Linked DNA regions of Struthio camelus. The protein of the gene in region 2 binds, or shares a complex with, the protein of the main gene of each other region. Links are inferred from orthologs where the notes say so. Each region holds a gene or a part of one and is shown on either strand. Other genes may lie near its edges.

Region 1 (7,401 bases), on a different chromosome or scaffold from region 2:
CGAAGTGGAGGGGGGGGAAAAAAAACCCCAAAAAACCAACCAAACCAAACCGGGAACGAAACCCATTTGGGCGAGCGGCGCAAGAGCCACGCTTTGGTGCCGGTGGGGCTCCTCGTCTCCCCCCCAACTCCCCGGGCTGAAAAAAAGAAAAGAAATCCACCCGGTTCCTCCGGGCTGGAGCGCTAAAACGTGGTAAAACCAACCCGAAGCGGGAGGAAGGTTTGGTTGGAAAAACCAAACGAACCGAGAGGGGAGCGGGGACGCCGCTAACTCCAGCTGGGGTCGTAGCCCGTCCAGTCCGAGGGGGGCGCGAGGTAGACGCGCCGGCCGCGGTAGACGAAGCTGACGATGCCGCGGTAGCCGGCGCGGGGCACGCCGGATTTGAGGTCGTCCATGAGGCCCAAGGCCTTGGCGAAGGCTTTGAAGGAGTCGCGGCTCGTGTAGCGCACGCGCACGGCGCCCAGCTCGCGGCGCCGGTTGCCCTGCAGCTCTTCGACCCGCACCTCCGGCGCCGCGTAGACGCGGGGCAGGAAGGAGCGTTCGTACTCCTCCTTTTTGAGGTAGGAGAGGTCGAGCCGGGTGAAAGGCACGAAGCGGTCGTTGAGCTTGATGAACTTCAGGTACTGGTCGAAGAACTGGCCGTGGCTCACGCCTTTGCGACCGAACGTCATGGTGCGCGACACCTCCGGGCGCACGCACGAACGCTCCCGCCGTTGCTCGGGTTGCCTCATCCAATCGTCCCAAAACGCTCGAGGCCATTTAGGTTCCAGTTCGTCCCACAACTCGGCCAGCAGCAACCAACCGAGACCCGGGAAGAAATCGGTGCGGTAGAGCAGCTCGGCTCGCCCGGCGTCCACCATCTGCTCTTTGCCGTTGTCGTTCCAGGCCGAGACGCACCAGAGGCTGCGGTCGGCCAAGAGCAGCGGGAAAGTGGCTTGGAAATACTCGAAGAAATCCGGCGCTACTTCCAAGTCGTCTTCCACCACGATGGCCGCCCGGTAGCGGAAAGTACGGAAAACCTGTCCCAGAGCCCAACGGTAGTGACGGGCGATTTTGTAGTAACCTTGGAACTTGCGGTGTTCGGCGGGTACGGGCACGTCGCTGAGGTCGGGCTGCCGGATGTGAGCCACGGCGTCGCCGTACGAGGCGATGACGCGCGCCGTCTCGGCGTGCCCGCAGTCCTGGCTGACGATGACGGGGAAACGTTCGGGCGAAGGGCGGTAGCGCAGCAGCTTGTCCAAGCACCGGCGTACCGTGCTGCGGTCGCAGGCCATCACCAGCACGGGCAGGACGACGGAGGCGGCGGCGGGTGACGGCGGCGGCCGGGGGCTGCTGGGGGGAGGCGGCGGGCGCCGGCGGCGACCCCACAAGCCGCTGTAGCGGTGGATCTGGCGCAGCAGTTCCTTCTGCCGTTCCAGCTCGGCTTCGGCATCCTGCGCCAGGCGGATCACCTCCTCGGTGAGGCCGCGGCCGGGTTCGGCGCCGGGGGCCGCGGGGCGGCTCCAGAGGAAGAGGAGCAGCAGGCCGTTCCAAGCGACGAAGAGCGCCGCCCCCCACAGCGCCAGGCTGCTCTTCTTCAGCATCCTTCACCCGGCGGCCGCCCCCCCCTCTCTCTCTCTCTCCACCGCGCTCACGCCGCCGCCATGGACCTGCGGGCAAAGCCGAGCCGAGCGCCGCGTTAAAAACCTCTCGAAACCCCTAAAAAAAAAAGAAAAACCACCCAAAAAAAAAAAACCTCTCCACGCCCAACGCCCGCTCGAAAAACACCCCGAAGAGGAAGTCGCGAGAGGAAACAAGACGCCCCCGAGGTCCCCAGCGCCGAGGCCGAAAGTCGCCTGCGGTAGAAAAGGAGATGGGGGGGAAAACAACCCCCCCCCTCCCCGATCTGCCCCCAAAAACCCCAGCTGCCGGGGCAGAGTCCGTCCCCGTTAAAGGTTAACCTGGGCGCCGGGGCCGAACTCGCCGCCGAAACGGGGCGGGAAAAGCCGCCGGGGCGGTTTTAGCTTTTCTACGTGAAAAACTGAGGGGGATAATTAAAAAAAAAAAAAAAGGGAAAAAGTAAAGAATAACAGACCCCCCCCCCCCCCCCAAAAAAAAAAAAAAAAAACGCGAAGCTTTGGGGGAGCCTCCGCGGCGAGTTACTCACCCGGCCGCCGGCGAGCCCGGCCCGACTCCTGCCGTGTGGCGGAGGTAACACGTCAGCAGAGCAGGAAACGAGGGGGAGGGAAAAAAAAACAAAAACCGGGGGAAAAAGAAACCAGAAAGAAAAAGAAGATATTGGGTTACTGAAGTCAGGCAGGAGGCGGCCGTCCCCGGGGCGACTTTCTCCTCCGCTCGAGCAAGCGGCCGAACGAAAACTTCCGCCCCGGCTCCGGCGGGCGGCGATTTACGTTCCTGAAAAGAAGGAGGGAAGAAAAAAAAACAAACAAACCCGGACTCGCCGTCCCGCTGCCGTTTTGGGACCGGTTTTATTATTATTTTTTTTTTTTTAACCCTCCTGGCGGGAGGAAAAGACGCGGCAGGAGGCAGGTTAATTCGCTAAAGCCGCCCGGGGTGGGGGGGGGAGGTTTAAGCTGCTTTTCCTCGCCCCCGGGGTCACGTCGCGCGGCGGCAAAACGCCCCAGGGGCGAGGAAAAGTTTCCCCGCAACCTGTCGGTTCTGTTCAAAAGGGGGGGGGGGAAAGGATTCCCCCCCCCCACCCCGCTGCTTTTTCCGGCGGGATTTAAAGCCCGGCGGCGAAAGGAGGGGAAAAAAAAAAACCCAAAACGCGGGAAGGGTAAATAAAAAACCCCCGGCGCGAAGCTGCCGCCTTACCTGGCCGGCGCCGGGGGAGGGGGCTCGCCGGGGTGTCCGTCCGTCCGTCCGTCCGTTCCCCCCCCCCCCCGGCCAACGTCGAGGCCTCCGCGATCCGGCTCCGGGGTTTTTTCCGCGCCGGGAAGCGGATCAAGCCATGGGGGGGGGGGAAGGGGGGGGGAGGATTTGGGGTGGGGGGGGCGGCCCCGCCGGGGCCCCCGGCGCCGCTCGCGGCTGCTCTGCGGGGGGGGGGAGGGGGGACATGAGGGAGGGGGTTGGTTCCCCCTCTGCCCCCCCCCCAAATCCCATAGGGGACGGGGACCTTCCCCCCACCCCCCATCCCAGCCCTGTTCCCTCCTAAAGGGGGGGGCAGGGACCCCCCCCCACGCAGCCCTATAGGGGACAGGGACCCCCCCACCCCATATGGGAGAGGGATCCCTCCTCCACACCCCTATAGGGGACAGGAACCCCCCCTCCCCACGCAGCCCTATAGGGGACAGGGACCCCCCCCCCACACACAGCCCTATAGGGGACAGGGACCCCCCCCACACACCCCTATAGGAGACAGGAACCGCCCCTCGCCACGCAGCCCTATAGGGGACAGGGACCCCCCCCCCACGCAGCCCTATAGGGGACAGGGACACCCCTAACTACTTCTGTAGGGGACGAGGACCCCCGCACACACCCCTCTATACGGAACAGGGCCCTCCCCCACTCCTATAGGTAAGAGGGCTCCCCCCCCACACCTCTATAGGGGACAGGGCTGCCCCCTCCACACCTCTACAGGGGTCGGGGCCCCCATATAGACCTCTATAGGGGACAGGGCTCCCCCCCTCCACATACCTATATAGGGGACAGCCCCCCCCACCCCCTTATAGGGGACAGGGGCCCCACACACACCCCCTATAGGGGACAGGCCCCCCCCACTTCTATAGGGGATAGGAGCCTCCACACCCCCCCCTATAAGGGATAGGGCCCCCTCCACACACCTCTATAAGGGACAGGGAGCCCCCCACACCTCTATAGGGGACAGAGACCCCCTCACACACCTCTATAAGGGACAGAGATCTCCCCCAAACACCCCTATAGGGGACAGGGCCCCCTCCACACACCCCTATAGGGGACAGGGAGCCTCCCACACTTCTATAGGGGACAGGGGCCCCCTCACACCCCCCTATAGGGGACAGGCCCCCCCCAGCCCCCTCCCCTCCCCATAGGGGACAGGACCCCCCCCCCGACACCCCTATAGGGGACATGCTCCCCCCCGGGGGGGGGGGTCCGGGCCTCCCTCCTCCTCCTCCTCCTCCCCCCCCCCCGCCCCTCCGCGCCCCTCCGGTACCAGCGGCGGCTCCCAGCAGCGCCCGCCACTTCCGCCTGCCCGCGCCGGAAGTGGCGCCATGGCAACGGGCCCGGCCCCGCCCACCGCGGCGGCGCCGTCCAATCAGCGCCGGGCAAGGCCACGCACGCACGCACGCACGCGCGCTCCCCTGCGGGCGCTCCCATTCCCGCCGCCTCCCTCCCTCCCCTTCCCCCCCCCCGCGCGGCGGGATGGTACAGCCCGAGGGAGGGCGGGGCCGCCGGCCACGCCCCCCTCCCCGCGCGGCCACGCCCCCTCCCCGCGCGGCCACGCCCCCCTCCCCGCGCTCCAGCGCCCGCCCGCCGCCGTTTTTAACGTCTTTGGGGCTTTTTCGGTCGGTTTCGGGGTCTTTGGCGGGGTTTTTTCGGGGGGGGGGTCGAAGTTGTGACGGGGGGGGAGGGGAAACTCGCTCGTTCGTGCCCCGAGCGCCGCCGCCGCCATTTTTGGCGTCGCCTCAAGAGAGGGCGGGAAGGCGGCGGGTCACGTGGGTGGGGGCCCCTCCCCCCCACGCCGGCCGCTCTGGGCGCCGCGGCGGCCCCGGCTCGTCTCGTCTGCTCCGGGCGGTGGGACACGTGGAGGGGCGATGGGAGGGGGCGGGGGGCAATAGGGGGGGATGGGGGCAATGGGGGCAATAGGGGGGATGGGGAGGCAGTGGGGGGTGATGGGGGGCAATGGGCAGGGGGCAATGGGGGTGATGGGGGGCAGGGGGCCATAGGTGCTGATGGGGGCAATGGGGGGGTGGGGGCAATGGGGCAGGGGGCAATGGGGGGGATGGGGGCAATGGGGCAGGGGGCAATAGGGGGTGATGGGGGCAATGGGGGGGATGGGGGCAATGGGGCAGGGGGCAATAGGGGGTGATGGGGGCAATGGGGGGGATGGGGGCAATGGGGCAGGGGGCAATAGGGGGTGATGGGGGCAATGGGGGGGATGGGGGCAATAGGGGGTGATGGGGGCAACATGGTCAATGGGGGGGCAATGGGGGTGATGGGGGGCAGGGGGCCATAGGGGCTGATGGGGGCAATGGGGAGGCAGTAGAGGGTGATAAGGGGCAATGGGGGGCAATAGGGGGTGATGGGGGGCAATAGGGGGCAGGGGGTGATGGGGAGGCAGTGGGGAGTGATGGGGGCAATAGGGGGATGGGGGCAATGGGGGGGCAATAGGGGGTGATGGGAGGGCAATAGGAGCAGTAGGGGGGGATGGGGGGCAATAGGGGTGATGGGGGGCAGGGGGCCATAGGGGCTGATGGGGGCAATGGGGGGCAGGAGCTATAGGGGGTGATAGGGAGCAATAAGGGGTGATGGGGGGCAATAGGAGCAGTAGGGGGTGATGGGGGGCAATAGGGGGTGATAAGGGGCCATGGGGGGCAATAGGGGTGATGGGGGCAATGGGGGGTGATAGAGGGCAATAGGGGGTGATGGGGGGCAATAGGAGCAGTAGGGGGTGATGGGGGCAATAAGGGGTGATGGGGGGCAATAGGAGCAGTAGGGGATGATGGGGGGCAATAAGGGGTGATGGGGGGCAATAGGGGGGCAGGAGGCAATGGGAGGGGGGGAAAGGCACCCCTCTGCCCCCCCCAGCCCCCCCCCCAGCCATGGAGCCGCCGCCGTCCCGCTTCCAGTCGTGCCTGGACTTCTGCCCCGAGTGCGGGGCCGTGCTGCCCCGGCCGGGCCCCCGCGACGCCGTCTGCTGCGCCCGCTGCGCCTTCGCCCTCGACGTCGCCGGTGAGCCCCCCGGGGAATGGGGGGGGGGGGGGGAGCAGGCCCGGACGCCTGGGCCCCCCCCCCCCCCCCCCAAACCCGTTACCCACCGCCTGCCCCCCGTCCCCCCCCGGCAGATTTCGACGGCAGAGCCGTGCGCACCGCCGTCCAGTTCAACCGGCCCGAGCTCGCCGCGCCGCGGCCGCCCGAGCCAGCGCCGGGCCTCGACGGCCCCGTGGTGAGCCCGGGCGGCGGCACGGGGGTAAACCCCCCTTGGGAGGGGAATAAACCCCTTGGGAGGGGTATAAACCCCCCTGGGATGGGTATAAACCCCCCTGGGATGGGTATAACCCCCTTGGGATGGATATAAACCCCCCTGGGACAGGTACAAACCCCTTAGGATGGGAATAAACCCCCCTGGGACAGCTATAAACATCTTGGGAGGGGAATAAAGCCCCTTAGGACGGGTATAAACCCCTTAGGATAGGTATAAACCCCCCTGGAACAGGTATAAACCCCTTAGGATGGGAATAAACCCCCTTGGGACGGGTGTAAACCCCTTAGGTTGGGAATAAACCCCTTGGGAGGGGTATAAACCCCTTGGGATGGGAATAAACCCCCTTAGGATGGGAATAAACCCCCCCTGGGACAGGTATAAACCCCTTGGGAGGGGTATAAACCCCCTTAGGATGGGTATAAACCCCTTAGGATGGATATAAACCCCTTGGGATGGGTATAAACTCCCCTGGAACAGGTATAAACCCCCTTAGGATGGGAATAAACCCCTTAGGATGGGAATAAACCCCCTTGGGACAGGTGTAAACCCCTTAGGTTGGGAATAAACCCCTTGGGAGGGGTATAAACCCCCCTGGGATGGGAATAAACCGCCCTGGAACAGGTATAAACCCCCCCGAGATGGGAATAAACCCCCTGGGGTATGAACCCCTTAGGATGGGTATGAACCCCCCTGGGACGGGTATAAACCCCCCTGGAACAGGTATAAACCCCCTTGGGATGGGAATAAACCCCCCTGGAACGGGTATAAACCCCCTAGGTTGGGAATAAACCCTCTTGGGATGGATTTAAACCCTCTTGGGATGGGTATAAACTCCCCTAGGATGGGAATAAACCCCTTGGGATGAGTACTAAACCCTCTTGGGATGGGTATAAACCCCCTTGGGAGGGGAATAAAAGCCTTAGAATAGGAATAAACCCCTTTGGAATGGGAATTACACCCCCAGGATGGGAATAAACCCCCCTGGGAGGGGAATAAACCCCTTTAGAATGGGAATAACCCCCCCAGGATGGGAATAAACCCCCTTGGGAGGGGAATAAACCCCTTTAGAATGGGAATAACCCCCCCAGGATGGGAATAAACCCCCTTGGGAGGGGAATAAACCCCTTTAGAATGGGAATAACCCCCCCAGGATGGGAATAAACCTCCTTGGGATGGGAATAAACCGTTTTGGGACGGGTATAACCTCCCTGGGAGGGGTATAAGCCCCTTTAGGGCAGGTCTAGCCCCCCTTGGGAAGGGTTTAACGTCCCCCCCAA
Region 2 (7,377 bases):
TGAGTACGAGAAGCTGGTGGCAAGTTTCCCCAGCAGGGCTTCCCTGCCAGACACGCATACACACTCAAACCCAGACAGAACAGTTGCAACACTGCAACCCTCAGGAGCCACAGAGACACTGGGCACCAAGCTTCAGGCCTGTGGCTGGAACGTAGCATAGAAGTGCCACCTTCAAGTGCAGGGCAGTCAAAGGTTGGGAATGGAGTCACATCTGCTGGTCCTCAGAGGATTCAATGGCCACAGCTGTCTCCCCTTGCTGGAAGCCTGCCCAGCTTACACAAGTCTCTGTACCACGACAGCTTTCCCATGGGAAAGAAAGGCCCTTCCCTTCTCTTGGGGTTCAGAAATATCATCAATACCCCCTACTATCACAGCTCTGCCTATAGAGAACTGCTGCCTGTCACCAGCTTGTGTCACTCTTACCTGACCTCGCTTTATTCCAAAGTACCTGGCCACTGGATCCCCAGCCTGTATGCGTGGGAGCTGGTTCTCTCTCAGCTTACTGCACAGGACAGTCAAGGAAGAGCTCTATCAGCAGCATAAGCAACTGGCTCAGGTACCCATTTGTTTTAAGAACGGGCACGGTTATTAGAACCGACTAGTACATTGTCACACTCAGAGGTGTATTCATTTTCAACTTAAAGCAAGTATGAATCACACCCAGGGAGGGAAGGAACAAACAAAGGATACTATCGGGCTAGTAGCTCAGTTACTTCTTCCTTTGTCATGACCACGTGCTCTGGAACCAACTGTAAACAAAGGAGAGACGTTCCAAGATTAGAAAACCAGAGAAACCAAAAGTCTCCTCACAGCAGCAGGACAAGGAACATGTGGGTAAGCAAAACTAGAACAACTACTGCTGTGTCACCCAGCCTGACCTTCCAAACAGAAGATCGCTAAAAGCTAGGTGATGGTCTGCAGCTCAGCAGAGAGACTGGTTGCCTCGCCTTTGCTCCACTGCCAGCACAACTTACCTCATGTTCTGTGATGTTGATCAAGAGCTCTTGCTGCAGAAACTGCTCCAGGATATATTTGGGAGCCATATCTACCAGGGACTGAAAAGGAAAAGGCATGTCAGACTGCAGCACAGGGCACTGCTCGAGGTCAGTCCTACCTGCGCTCAATAAACATCACATTGCAAGGGATATCATTACATTTGTGCTCACACAGTTAGAGCTACACAGCAAACTGCTAACGGACCTTGTCACCGCTGGCAAGTATCTCCTCTCCTCTCATAAACCTCAGTAGGCCCTCTCTTCTTCTTTAACCAGAGTTAGAAAGCTCTCTTTAATCAGAGCCAGTTGTTCTGGTTAAACACATTTGCATGTTAAGCAAGACATGTCCCCTGCGTTAAGGGACAACAGGTTTTAGTGAAACATTTTCTCAGAAATAAAATTCAACATTCTTATTAATCTAAAGCAGCACTGCAAAACAAACATGCAAAACATCCATAGTCTACAATTGCCCTCTGGACCGTGAGACAGGTTGTTTTTTTTTTTTTTTAAAAAGGGTTCTCTGTACCTGCTTTGCTGAGGGAGTCATGCCTTGCTGTACCACAATCAACGCTCTGGTGATGTTCTCCTCCTGCATCCTCTGACAGTACATCTTGATTGTCTTTATTCCAACCTTGGGCTCCTCTAGGAGTGAGGGAGGTACCATGATCACGATACATGCATTCAGTAATCCACATTCTAATAGCCTTTGTTTTGCAGCCAGTGATACACTTATGCACAAATATTCATTCATTCTACTCTGTGATGTATTTTCTTTTTGCACAACATTCTGCATCCAGCCTACCAGCTGCAGAAGTCACCCCTGCAGTCATACACAGCAAAACTTATGGAATGTTTTGCCTTGTTAAACCCAGTGGAATAAGGCATGTTGTGTAAATAAAGAAAACCCAGCTGGAGCTTACCACACCAAGATATTTATTTTGCAGGACAGAATAAGCTTTCTGAAAGGCTTCATGCCAGTAGAACAGGAAGAACTGGCTTTCATTAGAAGTGAGTTTTTGAGCGCTGGGGAAGCACAGTCACATCAGGCTTTCAGAAAGCCAAGCCATCCCTTCCACACAGCTTCTATCAGTGTGAGGCAAAAAGGTAACACGCAACAGCAGCAGATATTCCTTGGTGCCTGAGTTAACAGTTTTGAGAAGTCCAAGCTCACTGCACATATGGTAACTGTGTCACACTTACCTGGGAAGAAAACAAACATCTGATCAGTAGGATCATCATTATGAGCCACCAGCACTGTCAGGTCAGTGCGCCTCGGCCTCCCTTCACTAGGCTTGTCCCCAAACTGGGCCTTGAACTCCTCCAGGGTCTGATCCAACTCATCCTGAGTCACCAGATAGCCCCGATCATGACAAAGCTGCAGAGAACATCCTCACTTAAGACACACAACAGGTAACCCGTGTTCACAGCTCCGCTCACTTCCCACACGCAGCGTTTCACCCTTCGCGCTCCAAACACAAGTCCTGCTGCTGCCGGAGCCCGCACCAGAGCGCCAGGCACTGCTGAACCATCAAGCCCCACCACGAAAACTCCGTACAGCTCTTAGCACAGCGCAATCCTGCCCGCGCCCCGGAGAAGGGGGACAAGCGCTCCGAGGCGGGCCCGAGAGAGTCCCAAACGCCAGGACCCCGCCGCGATGGCTCCCCAAGGAGAGCAGAACAGAGGGCCGGGCCGGGCCTCGCCTCTCCCCCCACCCGGCTCGGCCCCAGCCTCCCTCCAAGGCCCAGGCCGCCCCCAGGCTCCCGCCCCGGGCCTCTCGGCCCGCCGGTCCCCCAGGCCCCGGCCCCGCACCTGCATGATGGTCTTGCGGATCTTCCACAGCCGGTAGGTCTCCTCCTCGTCGTCCATGGCCCTCGCGCACGCGCGCTGCCGCCGCCGAAAGCCCCCCGCCGGCCCTGGGGCGCCCGCTTTAAGCGCCTGCCGCGCGGCGCTGCAGGCGGCCGCCGGGGCCGCCGCGGGGGCCTCGGGAGCAAGGGCTGCTGGGAGGTGTAGTCCCGCCCGCCTCGCCCCGCCTCGCCTCGCCTCGCCGCTGCTGCCCCCTGGCGGGCGGGGGCCCCCGGGGGGGGCTGGGGAGGGGACCCTGAAACAAGGGGTCTTGGGGCAGGTCCTAGGGCAGGTCTGGGGCAGGGGGTCCTGGGGCAGGGGGGTCTTGGAGCAGGGAGGTCTTGGGGCAGGTCTGGGGCAGGGGGTCCTGGTGCAGGGGGGTCTTGGGGCAGGGGGGTCTTGGGGCAGGTCTGGGGTGGGTCTGGGGCGGGGGGGTCCTGGGGCAGGTCAGCGACCTGGGCCTGGCACAGTAGAGGCTCTAGGGCAGGGCAGGGGGCCTGGGACCACCAGCTCTGCGTGCCCAGGCCCCAGCCCGGGGGCTGCCCAGTCCCCCCAGCGGCCTGTGCGGCCATTTGTCACCATGCCTGACCCCTCCCGGCCACCCTGCAGCTGGGGACGGTGTGGCAAGAACGAATCGGGGAGAGAAAAACAGAACAAATCCTCTTGCAACACAATGGAGCAGTCTCAAGCCCAGACGCGTGACAGTGACACCCCCGGTGGGGACGGCCCTGATTGGGGTGGGGGGGCCTCCTCTGCCACAGCAAAGGACATCTCTTCTTTGCAGCAGGGCGGAGGGACAATTTTTTTGCCAGTTTGAATTACAGCTCTGAGCTTCTCAGCCCAGGACACATCAAAAGACCACAACCTGTCAGTAGCAGTATCTACCAATTTTGCACACAGATCAAGTAGAAAACTCCTTTGAAGGGGGATATTATTCAACGTAGATGCAAGCTTCACTGGCAGAGACAGAAATCCAACCCTCTGCAAACAATCCGCCTGCTGAGGCTCTTTTCCTGCCGCCTTTAACTCTAATCACAAGCCGTCATTAATCCTGCCTAACAAAGCACTAAAAAAAGACACAAACTATTGGTCAGGGATCTGCCTCCTTTAATCTCGTGTTCTCCCAAATTATCCCAGCTGGAGAGCCCCTTTTTTCCCCCCTTTCTTTCACGTTTTTCAGTGCTTGCGTTGCCCTACAAATTGGCTCAAAGAACATGGGCAGGACAGGAGCTCAGCCCCGCCGCGTGGGCTCAGCCGTGTTTTGTGCCTCCCTTCGTTTCGGCAGGACCTTTCAAGTTTTCCAGTTTCCACTCAGCAGCAAGACGAGGGATTTTAACTCCTAAGAGCTGGTCTAAAGTTAACGGCCTACAGCTAATTGTCCTTGACAGCCAGCAGCGTCAGCGGCTGTCCGTGGGGAGCCACAACCCAAGACCAAGACCAAAAGCAGCCAAGACTGTGGCGAGCGGGAGATGCTTTTATCTGCAGCCTCTTCTGCTCCCGGTGCCCTCCTGGATCCAGGCATTGAGTAGCCACAGGAAAATGTTCCCGTCTGCCGTCACACCGCAGCCCCACAGCCACAGCTCAGTCACGGGGCTAGAAACTGCTTCCCAAGGACGTTCCCCAAACCCACTGGCCCGCGAGCAGGCAGCACCTGTAGCAGCCTGCACCCAGCTGCAAAGAGGTGGCTGCAGGCACCCAGGCAGTGCAGCCCAAGGGTGCAGTGATCGGCAGCCTCCGCCCTGCACCACCAGTGACGCTCCAAACCATGCACTGTGAGCAATGCTCCAACCATGCACCGCCAATGATGCTCCAACCCTGCACCGTGAACGATGCTCCAACCCTGTACCACGAGCGATGCTCCAACCTTGCACTGTGAACGATGCTCCAACCCTGCACCACGAGCAATGCTCCAACCATGCACCGCCAACGATGCTCCAACCCTGCACCATCAGCAATGCTCCAACCCTGCACCGTCAGCAATGCTCCAACCAAGAATTGTGAGCAATGCTCCAACCCTGCACCGTGATGGACGCCACCATCCCCGCACCGAGACCCAAGCAGCCCCGGGCCATGTGCCGCGGGAGGGCCACCGCTGGCGCCCCAGGCCCAAGGGAGCCCCGCGGCGGCGCCTGCAGCGCCGAGCACCGGCGCGGCCACGTGACTGGGGACCCCCCGCCCCACCTCGTGGTCCGTCCCTGCCCCCCCCCCCCCGCCTCGTGGTCCGTCCCGCCTAACCGATAAACAACCGCTGCGGCCAAACAGCCCCCTGCCTGCTCTGCGATTGGCCAGCTGCGCCGTCCATCATCTGGGCCGTGCCGCCTCCCCGCGCGCTGATTGGCCGAGCCGCCGGAGGGGGCGGGCCTCAGGGCGGGAGGCGGTGGCGGCGCGATGGTTTTGGGTCACTTGTCACGGCGGGCACTGCTGTGCGGGGTGGTGGCGGCGCGGCGGCTGAGCGGGAACATGGTGAGCGCGGCGGTGCCGGCGGGGGGGGGGGAGGTGCGGCGCCGGGCACGGTGTCGATGTCGGTGTCCACCCGCCTCAGCCCCTGGAGGAGGCGAAGCGCGTAACGGCCCTTCAGTGAGGTGACCATAGAGACGGCCTATCCCCAGGGCAGAGTGGCGGCCGCCTTTGGCGGACCCCCGCGCGGGACGGTGGCCGCCGCGGGCCACGCGCCTGGCGGCAGCGCTGCGCAGCCCGGCGGCCGCCCCGATCTGCCCGTGCGCGGAGGTGGGCCCGGAGCAGCTGCCAGCTCAGCTCCCCTCCCCCCCCCCCAAAAAAAAAAAAAAAAAAAGGGACCGAATCCGGCTGGATGAACCCGCCGGGAGCCGGGTGGGCGGCGGCGCGGGCCGGGCTGCAGCGCTCCGTTGTGCGGCAGGAGCTGCTGCTGCTGCTGCTGCTCCTGCTCCTGCTCCTGCTCCTCCTCCTCCTCGGGGAGCAGCTCTTGCCTCAGGGAGGGAGCGAGGAGCAGAAGCCAGCCGTGCTCAGGCGCTGCCAGGGCCTGGCCTGCTCCCCCCGTCCGGCCAGGGCACAAACTGGTGGTGACTGGGGACGGTGCTCGCGGCCTGCCTGGGCCGGGCGGGAGACCCGCTCCTCCGACGGGGGGGAGGCCTCCAGGATGGCCCCTGCCTGGGACTCCATGAGGGCCTGGGGCACGTACAGCAAGGATCTGTGCTTAAGCTTCTAATTTTGTGCTTGTCCAGCCGTCACTGCACAGGGTGAGGAAATGCTGGGAGAGGTGTGGTGGGGGGAGGCTCTGGAAACCGAAGCCCTGCCTGGGGTGCTCCTCCAGCAGTTGAAGCACCCAGGATGAATCATGGGGTTGTTAAACCTAGCAGGGAGCAACATCAATAACGTGCAAGTTTTACTGCAAGTTTTACATTGTGCTGCGTAGGAGAAAAGAAGACCTAAGAAACTGTAGTTTGGGAAACTTGTAACTTAGCTGGATTATCATGACCCTGTGGGTGGACCAGCTGACATGGAGCACGTGGCTCATTTGGGGCACCTGACAGCAGGGAGCCACCAGAGTGTGTGACACTTGCCTTCCTGGGTACGCTCAGCTTCTGCTTCACGAGTCCTGACATGAGCAACGAGTAGAGAGGGGAGCTGCTATGGATGGGAGGGACAGAGACAGCGAGCCATCAGCATGGGGGCACAGGCACAACCTATTGCTGTGACATGGCTCACTGCTGGTCTCCTGTTGGAGCTGAGCTCACCTAAAGCTGGAGAGGACGTGCTGCTGGGATTGCTGGGGAGGGAAGCTGACAGCAGCTCTCGGCTCTCTTGCAGTGTGCCCAAGTAGATGACTGGCGCACTGCCAAATCAATCTATGACTTCCATGCCCAAGACATAGACGGCAACACTGTCTCTCTGGAGAAATACAGGTAGGAGTGAACGGCCTGGAATCGGCTTGTCCTTAATAACGCAGTACACAAGCATGGGAGGGGGGAGGTGGTGCCCTTGAGCCCTCGAGGGGGAGTGCTGTTCAAAGGTCCTTAGTAGCTGCACCAGGCAGCAGTGACTAAGCCACAAAGGGAGCTTGCATAACATGAGAAAGGCTACAGAGAAAGCAGCTTGTTTTTTGTGCTGCCTTCCCTTCTTGCTGCACCCTTCACAGAGAGCATACGTGAGGGGCTTGCCTAGCCCTGTTACGGGAATTCCTTCTGATTCTTTTTCTTTCCAGGGGCTTTGTCTGCATCATCACCAATGTTGCTTCAAAATGAGGCAAAACGGATGTAAACTACACTCAGTTCGTTGACTTGTACGCCAGATACGCTGAGAGAGGTTTACGCATCCTGGCCTTTCCCTGCAACCAGTTTGGAAAACAGGTATGTGGGAGCAGCAGGAAGGCTGCCCTGGAGCCGTACACAAGGGCAGCTCTTGGTCTTGAGGATCCGCTTGGCTAGCTGGGGTCTGCTTGCCTCCCCAGTACACGAGAGGGAGCCCATACAACATCCGCATGCCAGCAGAGCCATGGAGTTTCTGTGCTGAAAGGGGAAGAGGCTTATGTTAGAGTGCCCTGTCTTTTGCCTTCCTCAGGAAC
Region 3 (7,317 bases), on a different chromosome or scaffold from region 2:
CACTGTGACTAGCTAAATAACAGGGCTCGGACCCCGCTGGCCGGTGAGCCACCTGTGTCACCCAGGGCCAGCAGCAGGGCGAACAGATACCAGGATGCGCTGTCCCAGGCAGAGGCACTGGGCTGCACTGGTCCCAGGCAGGGACACTGGGAGGCACTGGTCCCAGGCAGGGGCACTGGGCAGCACTGGTCCCAGGCAGGGGCACCAGGAGGCACTGGTCCCAGGCAGGGGCACCAGGAGGCACTGGTCCCAGGCAGGGGCACTGGGCAGCACTGGTCCCAGGCGGGGGCACCAGGAGGCACTGGTCCCAGGCGGGGGCACGGGGCAGCACTGGTCCCAGGTGGGGGCACTGGGAGGCACTGGTCCCAGGCGGGGGCACTGGGCAGCACTGGTCCCAGGCGGGGGCACCGGGAGGCACTGGTCCCAGGTGGGGGCACGGGGCAGCACTGGTCCCAGGTGGGGGCACTGGGAGGCACTGGTCCCAGGCAGGGACACTGGGATGCACTGGTCCCAGGCAGGGGCACTGGGCAGCACTGGTCCCAAGTGGGGGCACTGGGAGGCACTGGTCCCAGGCAGAGGCACTGGGTAGCACTGGTCCCAGGCGGGGGCACTGGGCAGCACTGGTCCCAGGTGAGGGCACTGGGCAGCACTGGTCCCAGGCAGGGACACTGGGATGCACTGGTCCCAAGTGGGGGCACTGGGAGGCACTGGTCCCAGGCAGAGGCACTGGGATGCACTGGTCCCAGGTGGGGGCACTGGGAGGCACTGGTCCCAGGCAGGGACACTGGGAGGCACTGTTCCCAAGTGGGGGCACTGGGAGGCACTGGTCCCAGGTGGAGGCACTGGGATGCACTGGTCCTAGGTGGGGGCACTGGGAGGCACTGGTCCTAGGTGGGGACACTGGGATGCACTGGTCCCAGGCGGGGGCACTGGGCAGCACTGGTCCCAGGCAGGGACACTGGGAGGCACTGGTCCCAAGTGGGGACACTGCGAGGCACTGGTCCTGCTGTCAGAGAACAGCCCATCACCCTCATTGGGGGGGGTCCCTGCACCCCTCGCCCTGGCCGAGGGGGTCCCCGCACCAGGTCCCCCGCGGGCCTGCCAGCCCGGCTGCTGGGCCAGCTGCCCCTTGCCCGGGGCGGTCCGGCAGAGCGGCGCCGCGCCGCCGGTCACCTTGGGAGCCGCCAAATATAGAGGCGCCGGGGCAGCGGGGAGGGCAGCCAAGGCCCAGGGCCGCCGCGGGCAGGAGCGGGGCCGCGGGCGCGTAGGGGCCTCGCCGCCGCTCGGCCCTTTTCGGGGCCTTCTCCTGCCTCCCCGGCCGCGAGCACCCGCGTTGCAGCAGCGCCCGCTGCCCGCGCGCCGGGCTGCTGCCCCGGGGTCGCTCGCCCCGCCGGGGTGGCCGTGGGGTCCCCCCCCCGCCGTCGCAGCGGGGCCCCCCGGGCCGTGCCTCCCGCCGGCCACGCTCCACCTCCGCCCGCCCCGAGCGGCCGGGGACGCATGTGCAGAGCTCCGGCTGCCAAGGCCGCGGCGGGCGGCGGGGGGGGGAGCGGTGGCGCGGCGGGGGCCGAGGCCGAGGCGGGCATCGGCGGGGGGGAGGCGGTGGTGGCGGCCCTGGCGGCGGGTTTCGGGGTGGCCGAGAGGGTCACGGCGCAGCCTGGATGTGGAGATGGCGATGGCAGCCCCCCCACCCCCCGCCCTGGTGCAGACCGCTCCGGCATCAAATTAACCCTGATTATACATAATCTCGTTAGCGATGGCAAGCAGGGCGGCACAGGACAGCTGCCTGCACCCCAGCTCTAGATATAGGGCTGCGGGGGGGGGGGGTCCGAGCGTTTCCTTGGGGAGGACATTGGGGTCCCCGAGGGCTCTCCAGGGCTAAGCGGGACCCATCGCTACACCCAGCTTTTCCCAGACCGGCTCTAAACCCGACGCGGCCGTTCCCGCTTTTTGCAAACGGCCGGAGACAGATGGAGGTAGGTGGCCAGCGTTTTCCAGCCCGGGGCCGGCAAATCCGCTGGCCGGCGTCCCTCGCCTGGGCCGGCCGTGCTGGACACCGTCAGCAGCTCTGCGCCTCCCAAACCGCCTTTTTCCCCACCTGGGTGTGCTGCCGCTAGCAATTTTTCACGCCGACTGGTGCAACCCCTCTGCAGCATCGGAGCTGCCCGCGGAGCTGCCCGGTGCGGCGCGGGGCCGCGGATGCGCACCCGCGCCGGCACTGAGCCCGTGGGCCTGCATCACGCGGCAGGGGCTCGCACCCGGCTCCGGCCGAGCGCCCGCTGACGGCAGACGGAGCCGTGGCCCAACATCCGCAGCATCGGCGTGAAACGCTCTGAAAGCCGGGAGCCTCCCAAAAACGGGAGAAGCAGCAAAGAGCCTGCAGGCCTGCACGCACCTTCGCATGCAATCTTTGTGCTTTTGGCAGCAAGAATACCCACGTGTACAAATAACAGCGATTAAAAACTCCCTTTGCAAGCAGAAAGTCCTCTGGCGCGGAGGAGCGCGCAGCAGAGCAAGGAGGGGAGCGTTTTGAGCAGGTGTTTGTGCGGCGTCTCCGTTTCTGCCAACCTGCTGCAGGTTTTTACGGCCTGTTCTCACGCCTCACGTTCCCTTTTTGGTAGCAAAAAAATATAACCGCGTTTCAGGCCGTCCGTGACTGCTGATCACTGCTAGCTGTGCAGCAGCTAGAGCTAGCTGGGAGTTTCCCATCCAAAATGGCTTTTTGGTTAGGAGGCATCGTCGGCTTGCAGCGGCGTGGGAGCTTTAAAAATAAAACAAAATAAAAAGGGGAAACGGGCATGTTGTTGAGGTGAGACATCTGCTAGGCTTTCTGAAAGCTGCTTTCCACTCAAATGGGTCTTTGAGAGATGAAAAAAATAATTAAAGATTAAAAATGCCAGCGTTCGAATGTTTGGCCTGATTGTCTGTGATTTCTTTTTTTTTTTTTTTGGTAATTTTCCCCCTCTTGCAAAACAGTGACATTTCACCTAATTTAGAACAGGAAAACCAGCTCAGCAAAGCGGCCCTTTCCACGCAGGATAAATATATACGTATTTTTTTTTTTTTTAATCTTTGGCCAAAGGGATTAGCTCCGCGGAGCCGCCTGGCACGCCTCGGCGGCCGTGCCGGCTGGAGAGCAGGCCTGCGCGGCAGCGCGGCAGCCGGCGGAGGGGCCGGCCGGCAGCTTGGCCGGCTGCTCTTCCGCCTCCGACTTTCGCCTGCAAGACAAGGCCCGAATAAGCTGCTTGCGTCAGCCTGGGAGGGGGCCAACTGCACCTGCACTTGGGGGCTGTTTTTCCCCTTTCCTTGTAGAGAGCGGTGAAAAACCCGCCGGATTTTGGCTGTATTTCCCAGGCGAGCGGACGGAGAGGCGCCTGCTGGCATTTCCGCGGCGGTTGCAGCGGCGGGGCTCTACCTCCCTATCCCACGGGGTCCTGGGCAGGGGGGGTTCCCCACCAGCTCCCGACCCCCCGAGCCCTTCGGCAGGTGCCGGCGGGAGCTGCCGGCGCGCAGGACGGCCGGGAACGGCGGTGGCACGCCAGCGGCCCGGCGCGGCCGGGAAGGCGCCGAGCGCCGGGGTGGCCGGGCACGGCCGGGAAGGCGCCGAGCGCCGGGGTGGCCGGTGAGGCGCAGACAAACCGGGGCAGCCGGTAGTGTGCGAGCAGCCTGGGATGGCCCGTAATTTGCAGGCAGCTTGGGATGGCCGGTAATTTGCAGGCAGCTGCCCGGCCGGGATTGGCTGCGGGGAATGACGCCCAGCACAACAAAGGTGGAGTTGGAGAAATTGCATTAAAAAAAATTAAGAGCGAGAGAGAAGGAGAAAGGGAGAGGGGAGCGGAGGGAGGGAAGGAGGGGAGGAAACTGCCCCTCGCCCGCCCCGCCGGGGAAATCCCCGAGCGTGGCCGTGTCCCGGGCGGCGGCGGCCGGGCGCCCGGGGCCGGGAGCGCGGCCACAACGCCGGGCGCTGCCCGCCCTCGCTGCCCGGCGCCGGGGGTGGCCCAGCGGCAACCCGCGGGGTCGGAGGGGACCCACCGGGGCGGGAGGCGGCTCGGCTTCCCCCACCCCCCGCGCTTCCCACCACCACCACCACCACCACCCCCCCTTTTTTTTTTTTTTTTTTTTTTTATGCAAACGCCAGGAGAGGATTGTTGCACATGTAAGGAGATTTTTTTTTTTCCTCCCCCCCCCTTCCCTCCTCTCTCCTTCCTCCTCCTCCTCCTCCTCTTTTCTTCTCGCTACAGTGTTGCAAAAGCAAAGAGCAATAAAAAACACAGTGAGCGGCGGTGGGAGCGCGGGGCGGCGGCGGCCGGCGGGCGCCGCTGGGGAGCGGCGAGGCTGGCGGCGGACCCCGGCGCGCAGAGCCCGGCTGATTGGAAGAGAAACGCAGCGCCATGGAGGCGGGGGAAGCGCGATCTCTCTGCGGGGACTGGAGCGCGTCCACGCCCGGGGCCAGCGCTGCAGAGCTGGCCGCCGTTCAACCGGCGCTCCCCGCCCCGGCCCCGCCGAGCCCCGGCCCCGCCGAGCCGCGGCCCCAGCCGCGGGCCCGCAGGTACGTGCGTGCGCCGGGGGAGCGGAGCGGAGCCGCGCCGCGCCGCGCCGTGCCGTGCCGCGCCGCCCGGGCTCGCCATTCGCCGCCGCGCCGCTCCGCCGGCGGGGCTGGAGGAGGCGCTTTGTTCCTCCCCGGGCTCCCGCTGCCGCCGCGCACCGGGCTCTCGGTAAGGCGCCGCCGCTCCGATCGCAGCGAAGGTGGAGGGGGGGGGAAGATTTTTGTGGCGGTGTCGGTGGAGGAGAGAGGGGGGAGGAGGTTGATTTAGATTTGTTAATTTTTTTTTTTTTCAAAAAAATTTTTTTTTTCCGCTCTCCGGGGCGGCCGCGCAGGCCCCGCGGGCAGGAAGCCGCCGCCGCCGTCGGGGCTCGCTCGCTCCCCGCCGCGCCGCGCCGGGCCGGGCCGGCGGGGGGCACCGCGCTGGGGCTCGGCGCGGGGGGAGCGCTCGGCTCGGCGGCCTCGGTGCCCCCCCCTCCTCCTTCCCTTCCCTTCCTTCCCTCTCCTCCTCCTCGCTCCCTCCCTCCTTCCCGCTCGCCCTCCCTCCCTCCCCGGCTGCTGCAGCTGGATTTCGGGGGCAGGCTTCCAGCGCTGGGCGGTTGTTTTTCCCCAGCCCGGGTGAGTCCCGCGCCGCGGCGGGGAGCTCGGCGCCGCCCGGCCGCGCTCCGGAGGGTGCGTGCCCGGGCTCGTCCGCTTCCCCCCCCCCACCTCCGCTTTATTCCCCCGCTTTCTTTTCTTTTTTTTTTTCCCCCTTCTTCCCCTCTTTTTTTTTTTTTTTTTGTCTTTTTTTCCCCCCTTCTTTCTTCCTTTCTTCCCCCGGACCGAGAGCGGGGCTCCAGCCCCCCGCTGGGTGGGTGGGTGTTTCTGGGCTCCGCCGTGCGAGGAGGGGTCGGGGGGAGAGGAGGAGGAGGAGGGGGCGGCGGTGGTGGTGGTGGTGGAGGGGGGGGGTGGTGGGTAGGAGCCGCTCCCCGGGGGTCGGTGCGGGGAGGTCGCGCTGCCCTCGCCCGGCTCGCTGCAGCTGCCCGGCCGCCCCCAGCCGGGCATCCCCGCCCCCCCTTCCCCCTCCTCCTCCTCCTTCTTCTTCCCCCAGCGGCTCCGGCGGGGCTGGGGCTGCGGCGGCTCGGCGAGCTTCTCTCTCTTCCCCCCCCCCACCCCACCACCACCACCACCTCCCGCCTCCCCCTGCAGCCCGGAGCCTCGGGAGGTGGGTTTGTCTCGGCTTTATAACCGCGCCGGCTGCACAGCGCCCAGGGCGGCGGGCTGCGGCGGAGCCGGCGCGGCGCGGCGCGCCCCGGCGCGGAGCGGCGCGGAACGGCGGGCGGAGGCGGGCGCAGCCCGGCCATTGTGTGCCGCGGCGGAGAGCGGCCGCGCCGAGCCGAGCCCAGCCGAGCCCGGTAACCGCGGCGGGTGGAGGGAGGAGGAGGAGGAGGAGGAGGAGGGGGGGGAACCGCAGCAGCAGCAGAGAAGGGAGGGCAGAGCCGCGCCGCATTGCCCGGGCCCCAGCGGGCTGCAGCGCCCGGCGGCGGCGGAGGGGGCCGCGGAGCGGCGGCCGCATGCAGCGCGGCCGGGGGCGGGAGCGGAGCGCAGGGGAAGGAAGGGCAGGGCCGGCGGAGCGGAGCGGAGCGGGGAAGGGAAGAGCCAGCGGAGCAGCGCGGAGCAGGGCGGCGCGGCCGGGGGAAGCGGAGCCGCGGGGCGCCCGGAGCCGGGGCCGCTCCATTGTCTGGGCGGGCGGCGGGCGGGGGAGGCGGCGGCGGCGGCGGCGCGCGCTGGCGCCCGGGCGGCGGCGGCGGCGGGAGCCGGCGGCGCGGCGCGGCCGGGGGCGGGCGGAGGGGCCGCGGCCGCGGCGGGCAGGGAGGCGCCGCCGGGGCCGCCCGCGCGCGCGGGTCCCACCCGGTTCCTGCTGCCTGGCGGAGGAGGAGACTCGGCGCTGGCCGGCGGCGCAGGGCATGTGCGGCCTCCCCGCCTCCGCCCGCCCGCCGGCCCGGCCCCTTCCTCCCCCCCCCCCTCCTCCTCCTCCTCCTCCTCCTCCCCCCCCCAAACACACACTCCTTCCGCGGAGGAAGGGGGGGGGGGTTGGTTCCCGGTGCGCCCCCCCCCCCCCCCCCCGCGCCCGCGGTTCCCGGTGCGCGCGCACCGCGCATCGCCCCCCTGCCCCGCCCCGCCGGGATCCCGCCCCGCGGTCCGCCCCCCCCCCCCCCGCCGCCGCCGCTGGGGCCGGGCCTCTGCCCGGGGGGGGGGGTGACCCCCTCCAGCCCCCCCCCACTGCCGCCGGGGCCGGGCTTCTGCCCGGGGGGGGGGTGACCCCCTCCAGCCCCCCCCGCCGCCGCCGCCGCCGCTGGGGCCGGGCTTCTGCCCGGGGGGGGGGTGACCCCCTCCAGCCCCCCCCCCCCCCGCCGCCGCCGCTGGGGCCGGGCCTCTGCCCGGGGGGGGGGTGACCCCCTCCAGCCCCCCCCCCCACCGCTGCCGCTGGGGCCGGGCTTCTGCCCGGGGGGGGGTGACCCCCTCCAGCCCCCCCCCCCCCCCCACTGCCGCCGGGGCCGGGCTTCTGCCCGGGGGGGGGGTGACCCCCTCCAGCCCCCCCCCCTCCGGGGGTGATCCTCCCTCTCTTTCCCCCCCCCTCGGGGATGGTCCATCACTCCCCCTTAGGGCCTGCCCCCCCCCACCCCCAAAACTGCCCGCCAGCTCGGGTTCCCCCCCCCCCCCCAAGGCCTCGGGCCTGCGCTGCTGGGTGATCCCTGCCCGGTGCTCCATGGATTTCCCCCCGCCCCCCCCCCCCC
Region 4 (7,425 bases), on a different chromosome or scaffold from region 2:
GAACCAACATGCACGCTACACTTGTTTACTAAAGGTAGTACAATAGTATACACAACCCATGCTTCCTTTATACTCACTTTCTTCATCATCATCAGAATCTGAAATGTCCACATCATCCTCTCTGATAGTTATCCGAGCTAGCAAAAAGTGAGATTATTATTGTAAAACCATACAAATCGTATAGGTAACAGTTCTGATGCCAAATCAAAGTACACTGGATGACAGACTTCATTGGAACTAAAGCATCAAAATTATCCCCATGACTTTCTATAATTGACTTTTTATTCAGCTTATTGCAATCAACTGTTTTATTCATAGAGCCAGAAGGTTCTCTAAAACATTGACATGATCTTCATCTCAGCATTTGTTTTTTCAATTATAACAACATAATACAGTTCACCCCTCTCCAAGACATTTTCAGAAATGGTATCTGACTGTATTAGCCATTAGAATGTGTGTTCTGAAATCTAAGGTACATAAAATGGACTGTGTTCCGATTCAGTCATTGAAGTGAAAAAAGGAATCAACAGAAAAAAAATGATAATTGGATTAATTCTAGCATGGATTAGTTTTCTAATAGAATTAATCTAGGAAAGAGACATTTTGATAAGCCAGTAAAGAAGAATTAAAAAAAGTAACTTACGGGGAATAAACTGCGATACAATCATGCGGAGGCATGGCCTAAGATGGACAGTTTGTGCTGACACTAGATTGCCAAGAAAACCTAAATATTCTTCAACTACATCTCGGCTTCTTCTCAACCACGGCAGCTTCTGAAAGCAAGTAAAGATGAAGATGTCAAACACAGAGATATTTTAAGTACTAAACTCTTAATCTTTGCATATAGCAAACAGATATTTACCAGCAAAATGTTGACCAGTTGTTCAAGATCTTTGGTCAAGTATGCAACAGAAGCTCGGAATTCATGTAGCCAATTAATGATCTGGGCATCCTTAAAATAAACAGAAAAAAACAAGTAACAATTTCAATAAATAATATGACCTATTACTAGAAAATAACCTTAAAATGACAAAACAAAGATTAAGACTGTAAATAGGAATTATTTTCACGTTAATGTGACAAGAATTTCTCAGACTAAGTTTGTCTCCCTACTAATAAAAGTTCTTCAACGCAAGAATAAATGCATAGCATCTTTCAAAGCAACAGCCTGCCTGAAATATTTAACTTAAAGTCTGGGCAAGGGATGCAAACCGGACTTAAACAGAATATATTTAAAAGAGATGGAGCTCAGAGAATGTTAATTCTCTTTTCTTTTCTTGTTGCTCTTAGTTTAAGCAGAAAGGCCATCCAAGTCTTGAAATAAGAGCGATAGTGGAACAGCAGCAGATCTACAGAGAAATATTACATTGATTTTGCCTGTAGTCTCCGAAAAGTCTGCTAAAAACAATTAATTTTACACAACATCCTCTTTAAAAAGAGGAGAAACTCAATTTGGCATTATACTTGCTGCAACATGCTTCTTATAGTTTAGTGGTTTAATAAAAAAAAGAAACAAAGATGGCAGACAGGATGGGTACTTATGGCTGTAATGAGCAGCTCTTAAAACAATACTTCTGGGTACAAACGCTAAATGTACATGCATCTCACTGCCTAATTAATTAAACATTTAATAAGAACTGAAGGAAGTAAACATTAATGTAACTTAGAGGCTGTAAAAGTCAGAAGGAAAGACAACAGACTGATCTACGAAAGTAATCCATACATAGAGCGACAGGCCCTTGGCACAAAGCAAAAAGTTTCCCACTCTAGAGCACAAAAATAGTAAATGTCGCTTTTGACATTTTTGTCGCTTGAATACCTATCAAGGTCATGCATATAAGATGCATGTCTCTGTGTAAACAGACAGTTGCTGGCTTTTTGTTTGGACTTTCAATTTTGATAGTTCCCACAAAGCAAAGAGCTGTTAAATGCTGCTAAATGTTTAAAGGAAAGTATTTAGGCAAGTGACAGGCACTTTTCTAAACTGATCTACTTGCAATAAGCCCATTAATAATAATAAAACAGTAACTGCTTTAAACACCAGAATCACTTGCCCGATGATTACACTCACATCTGTAACTAAGCTTTAGGTCATCAGACCCTTCACTACAAAAACGCTTACCTTTATGTCTGGATCTGACAGTTGATGCTTTAACAACTCAAAATCACTGGTTTCACCCTAGTAGGGGGAGAGAGAAAAAAAAAAAAAGAGCAAATGATGTTTATGGACTTGTGCCAGAAAATACAAACCTAAGCTTCATCAGCACATCTAAACAAGCTGACATTGTTTAGCAGCGACACAAATAACTGAGAAAGCTCAAGTAAAGCAGAAGTAACAGAACGCTCTCCCTGAAGGGCAGCTTTAGCTATCAGGTCGTTTCTGCTCCTCTCCCTATAGAGGCAGTTGCGATCACTTGGCGTCCTCTGGTATCAGTCAGACTTTGCAGCCATCAAAGGCGTCACTCAGACAGACTCGTCGGGGAATTTGTTTCACTTAGAGAACAACGCAGTCTGGCATATGCCCAAAGCACTCAGCTACCTTCTTTTTCCTACGCCACCAGACACCCTCTCGTGTAAGACAAACTAAGTCTTCATGTCCAAATTAAGTGCCGCAAACTAACAGGATGGCAACACACGCGACGGAAAGGCGGCGAAGAGCTGCGCAAGCACGTCCGCGATCCACGACGGGGAAAAGAGAGCGATAATCACCTTCTCGTACTTCAGCAGGATATCCGTCAGGGTGCCCCCGAACCGCACCGTCTTCCTCGGCGGGGAGCTGATGAACTCGTCCCCTCCCAGCATGGTCACAGGCCCGCGCCTGAGGAGAGGCGACGCCGCACGAGCGCCCGGCACCAACGGCCGCGTCCCAACGGCCCCCACCCCCCGGGTCGCGAAGGAGACGGGGCAGCACCTCCTCGTGCGTCGCCCCCGCCGCCGCCGCCCCTCGGCGCCGCCTCGCCTCGCGCCCCGCTAACGGCGGAGGCGGCGCCGGCCGCCGCGGCCCCCGCACGCCGCCAGCCGCTGCCGCCGCCCCATGCCGGCCCCGGGCGGAAAGGGCGCTCGCCTCCCCGGAAAGGGCGGCTGCTCCGCCCCTCGCACCATAGAGCGGCACGGCTGGAGGGGCCGCTGCTGCTCTGGCCTGGGCATCGCTGGTGCGGGCGGACTGAGGGGGCGGGGCGGCAGGGCCGGGGCGAGCGGACAGGGGAGATACCCGCCGGGCAAAACGCTGTCGCTACTGCCCCCGTTTTCTTAGGTTTTCCCTTCTATACCTGCGGGTAAGTAAACACCGTCGTAGACATTTAATACTCACAGCTGGAAGGTATTAAAGAGCAGTGCGAGTAAACACTCAAGCTCAGTGTTAGACTTGAGAATTGCCTAGGGAAAGAGAATTCCAAGGTCATGTCAATGTCACCGTCCGTCATTCAGAACTGCATCTCTGATTTGGGGCCAAGTGACTTTTTGTTTATGTGTATACCTGAAGACATGAAATACGAGATGACCTGCGAGCTGCTGCACTGAGAACTGGCCAGATCCGTCGCAAGTCCCCACATCCCAAAGCACATCGAGATCCCATGCTGGCGATACCAAGATTGCAACAGCCAGCTAGTAAATTCAGACTTTTCCAAGTTTATTTTTTTATCGTAAGCTGTGCTACTACGGCCTAGAACAAGGGAAAAAAAAAACTGTCAAATGATCCCTTTTACTCAAGATTAAAGATTGCTGAAAAATTCAGTTAAAAAAAAAAAATTTTGACCTTGGGAAGCAATTAAGCGTTTGTTAGAGCAAAGGGACAGGCAGAGAGTTTCGAGAAGCTTTCTGGGCTTTTTCATCCTCTTCCTGTAAGCTAGGGCTATATTAAAGCACCACACTGCTAGCACAGCATTTGAAGAATGATATAAAATAAACTATGGACTTTTCTATCTCTATGCTAACAACTGCTTTTCCTCTCAAAACAATATGTATATATAAAAATTGCTGTTGAGAAAATCATTAGCTGCTGCTATTTCAAAGGCCATGTTTTTGATAGACGCCAGCTGATACTATTAATGGTCGTAGCAGCACATATAATTCAAAAAGAATTATACGTGAAAGCCTCCAATAGCTTTCAGAGCAACCAGGATAAATATGAATAGGAAGCAGGCATTTTCCATCTAGTTCTTCAGTAACATTCAATTTGCTCAAAACTTTTTTTTTAATCCAGCTGAATGCTTCCTGCTCCAATACATGTAAAACAGCTACAGCAACATGAGATTATTTGACCTTTGTTCTCTTCTGCAGCTTATTGCTTTCGACACGAACTGCTACTGGAATAAATATCTCCCTCCCACCAAATGCCCGCCTCCCCCCCAAATACACCCATCAAACAAAAATCAAACAGAAGAGATTTTTGCAGAATTTACTAATAAATTAACTTTTACTAATTTGTCCCTTCATAAGATGTTTCTGTTTAAGGAAAGTAAACAGCATATATTGCATTAAAAGTCTCTTCAGATGTAGCCCACATACAAGATTCTAACAAACATTCACTCATTTATGGTTACAAGATCAGGGTTTGGCTTTTTTCCTTTAGTTATCATGTAAGGAAGTGGAATATAGGATGCCATTTTTCAGCTAAGCTTTAAGGCGTAAAGCAGGTATAAAAAAAACTCCTGTACAACCAAACTTCTGTAACCAGAGTTGGGTTCTTTCGGATTTTGGCTGTTTTTAAACATAGAGTAAGGACAGTCCTTTAAGTCTAGAAAGAATTCTCACAGTATATGCAAAATTCAGAGTTCACAGAAGTACAAGCAATCCTAACAATGAACAAGTAATTTTTTTCCTCCCATAAACAAGATACAAGTTCTTTGAATGGACTTCGTTCTGCATTGAGCTACAACTGATAAGGATCCTGGGAGGCTCAAATAGTGTTAAATACATGCTAATGTTTAACAGTTAATCATTGTTTGACTTGCTGGTTTCTATTTACTATTGCAGTCTTCCTTATTTAGGAAATAAAAAATAGACCACATTAAACAGGAACTATTTTACATTTTCAAAAAAAATAAAAGTATGATAGCTTACAATAGTTATCATTGCTCCCATGCAAGTATGTTGTATCTTATCGTTATTTAGACACATCCTACTAGTAACATTTAAGTGTTTTTCTATGATTAACTTGGGTCTTTCTTTTCTGAGGTGTCAACTCTTATATTTAACTGTTAAGACACGCACAGTAGACTACTCATAAATGCAAACATCGGAATCCCTCACAGTTGCTGAGTGGGGTTGCAACAACAGGCAATATTCTATCTACCATCCTACACAACTATCACTGGGTATCCAATGCTGGATTCGGGATTAATCACTACAGTAAGTAGGAGAACGGCTACCCACAAAAGTTTTGGGTTAAATTATCGCTGCTACTCATCATTCCACTTACTAAATATTACATCTCATAATTCAGTTCACAGATCAAAACTATGGGGGATCAGTACAAGCAGTTACCTCTGTTCAGAACAAGTAAATGAACGTGTTTCTTGTGAACAGCCCTGAAACAATGATCTATAGGTTTTTAGGGAAGGAGATTATTTAAACAGCACATTGTAACAACATATTGGTGTCACATTGCAGTTCCTCTAAAAGAAAAAGGAAACAACTTTAGATACCTTATAAAAGCTACAGTTATTAAGGAAGAAATTGAAATTTTACAGACCTTCAAGTCTAGCATCTATTTAAACTTGTTGAAAGATTGAAAGCATTTGGAAAACATTTTAAAATTGACTATGCATAGAAAGGTACAAGAGAAAGTTACAAATTATTTGGAACAGAAAGTCGGAAGACATTTCAAGAGTTCACAAGGAAGTAGAGCCACTGTTTTCCTACTAAATGTTTTCCTTAAATCCACCTCTATATTCAGTTAGGTGTGGCATAAAAACAGTTGTCTATTAGAAGTGGAAGACCTACCCATATTTGCTAATGGTAAGTTCAAACTCTTAGCGTTAGTTCAGAAACAGAGGAACTCATTAGGAAATTCTCCTACACAGAATTTTTAGGCACAATTATCACAGACTAATTGGGGCTGGAAGGGCCACCTGGAGATTGTCTGGTCCAACCCCCGCTCAAGCAGGGTCACCTAGAACAGGTTGCCCAGGACTACATCCAGTCGGGTTTGAATACCTCCAAGGATGGAGACTCCACCACCTCTCTGGGCAACCTGCTCCACTGTTCAGTCACTCAAAGTGTTTTCTTACGTTCAAGTGGAATTTCCTGTGTTTGATTTCTCGCGTCTTTAGCTGTAATATAAATCTTTTCCCACGTGCTAGTTCTAATTTCAGTTACGTTTGCATGTAGATTTGGTAAGATTTTTGTAAAGCAAAGCATTTGTTAATCTATAGATTTCTGAATGTTTCAGCACTAGAAAAATAATTCCTGTAACATCAATGGATTAAAAAGCCTCCTCTTAGAGCGATCATATTACATCATTTTCTGCTATGAAGAAAAAAAAAAACGGTATCTCAACAACACTATTTTTACTTGTTACTTACAAAATTTCAAATTCTAAGTTATTCCAAGATGACGAAATATATTAAGAGTCACAATAAATTGTGTATTTACACTATAAACAATTTATGCTACGTTTGTAACTTTGCTTCAATAGTTTTACATAGATATTTTTAAAGCACTTTACAAATAGAAGTATTGCACTGGCATCATAAAAGTTCACAGTGAATTTGAACTCCAGACCTTGGTAAGACAGTGCAAGAGCTTTTCATCCAAACATTCCTGGGTATATTAAAAAGTATTTCTATATTAAATGTTGCAGTGATTTTTCTATGAATCAGGTTTGTTTCCTTGTTAGTTCTCACTTCTTAAAAGATTTAGTTTATGTTTTGAAATGTTGCAAAATACAATAAAAACTATGCAGTCCAACACTGAAATAGGTACATCTGGCAGAGATACGTGACTGTGTGTCCGTTTTATACAGAGTCCATGACGGTCACAGAGATTATTCCATAATGAAAGAATCCTATTGCATTAAGTGGGTTATTCTCTTTCCACAATTTGCAACACTTCCCCCACTTTTAGAGGCAGTAACTTCAACAGTCGTGTCTTCAGCAGATCCTGAAGATAATATATTAAAAAAAAAAAAGTTACTTCCAAATAGTCTTAGAATAAATACTCATATAAAACTCTCAACTATTATTTGAAGTCAGCCTGAAAAGTACTTTTCCACAAGTTTAACAGCCAGCTGGGGTCAAATAAAAGACCCATCAAGTCAGTAGCTCGTCTCCAACAGTGATCAAGAGTGGACGTCTAAAGAAGGGCATAAGGACATGGCAAGCTAGTAGTATCTCCTCAGGATATTATCTTCGCTTCCACCTACTGTCCTGGGTCTTCCTGAGCTAAAGAGCTTCGCGTCTCTTCTGTTTTTTTCTCTTGGCTTTT

The links.
Region 1: POLR2E (region 2) and POLR1H share a complex: the UniProt entries of both Homo sapiens proteins name them as parts of the pol I pre-initiation complex. The link is inferred for Struthio camelus from reciprocal best matches to the Homo sapiens genes POLR2E and POLR1H.
Region 3: POLR2E (region 2) and UBTF share a complex: the UniProt entries of both Homo sapiens proteins name them as parts of the pol I pre-initiation complex. The link is inferred for Struthio camelus from reciprocal best matches to the Homo sapiens genes POLR2E and UBTF.
Region 4: POLR2E (region 2) and RRN3 share a complex: the UniProt entries of both Homo sapiens proteins name them as parts of the pol I pre-initiation complex. The link is inferred for Struthio camelus from reciprocal best matches to the Homo sapiens genes POLR2E and RRN3.

Annotation. Positions count from the first base shown.
Region 1 is NC_090977.1:793,337-800,737, reverse strand, and holds the start of POLR1H (DNA-directed RNA polymerase I subunit RPA12), read left to right. Parts: upstream 1-4,393; 5' UTR 4,394-4,484; intron 4,485-4,511; exon of another isoform or gene 4,512-4,713; intron 4,714-5,727; exon of another isoform or gene 5,728-5,739; 5' UTR 5,740-5,741; coding exon 5,742-5,871; intron 5,872-5,984; coding exon 5,985-6,085; intron 6,086-7,401. Other genes in the region: MGAT1 (alpha-1,3-mannosyl-glycoprotein 2-beta-N-acetylglucosaminyltransferase), read right to left, coding at 267-1,583. UniProt on the Homo sapiens protein: Core component of RNA polymerase I (Pol I), a DNA-dependent RNA polymerase which synthesizes ribosomal RNA precursors using the four ribonucleoside triphosphates as substrates. Can mediate Pol I proofreading of the nascent RNA transcript.
Region 2 is NC_090967.1:7,260,595-7,267,971, reverse strand, and holds the start of POLR2E (DNA-directed RNA polymerases I, II, and III subunit RPABC1), read right to left. Parts: upstream 3,014-7,377; 5' UTR 2,862-3,013; coding exon 2,805-2,861; intron 2,371-2,804; coding exon 2,196-2,370; intron 1,638-2,195; coding exon 1,522-1,637; intron 1,056-1,521; coding exon 975-1,055; intron 750-974; coding exon 691-749; intron 503-690; coding exon 424-502; intron 1-423. UniProt on the Homo sapiens protein: DNA-dependent RNA polymerase catalyzes the transcription of DNA into RNA using the four ribonucleoside triphosphates as substrates.
Region 3 is NC_090966.1:4,609,382-4,616,698, forward strand, and holds the start of UBTF (nucleolar transcription factor 1), read left to right. Parts: upstream 1-4,317; 5' UTR 4,318-4,546; intron 4,547-4,612; exon of another isoform or gene 4,613-4,712; intron 4,713-4,941; exon of another isoform or gene 4,942-5,158; intron 5,159-5,633; exon of another isoform or gene 5,634-5,744; intron 5,745-5,838; exon of another isoform or gene 5,839-5,934; intron 5,935-7,317. UniProt on the Homo sapiens protein: Recognizes the ribosomal RNA gene promoter and activates transcription mediated by RNA polymerase I (Pol I) through cooperative interactions with the transcription factor SL1/TIF-IB complex.
Region 4 is NC_090956.1:11,723,188-11,730,612, forward strand, and holds the start of RRN3 (RNA polymerase I-specific transcription initiation factor RRN3), read right to left. Parts: upstream 3,007-7,425; 5' UTR 2,803-3,006; coding exon 2,710-2,802; intron 2,180-2,709; coding exon 2,123-2,179; intron 953-2,122; coding exon 863-952; intron 774-862; coding exon 644-773; intron 138-643; coding exon 78-137; intron 1-77. Other genes in the region: transmembrane protein 238-like, read right to left, coding at 7,092-7,101. UniProt on the Homo sapiens protein: Required for efficient transcription initiation by RNA polymerase I (Pol I). Required for the formation of the competent pre-initiation complex (PIC).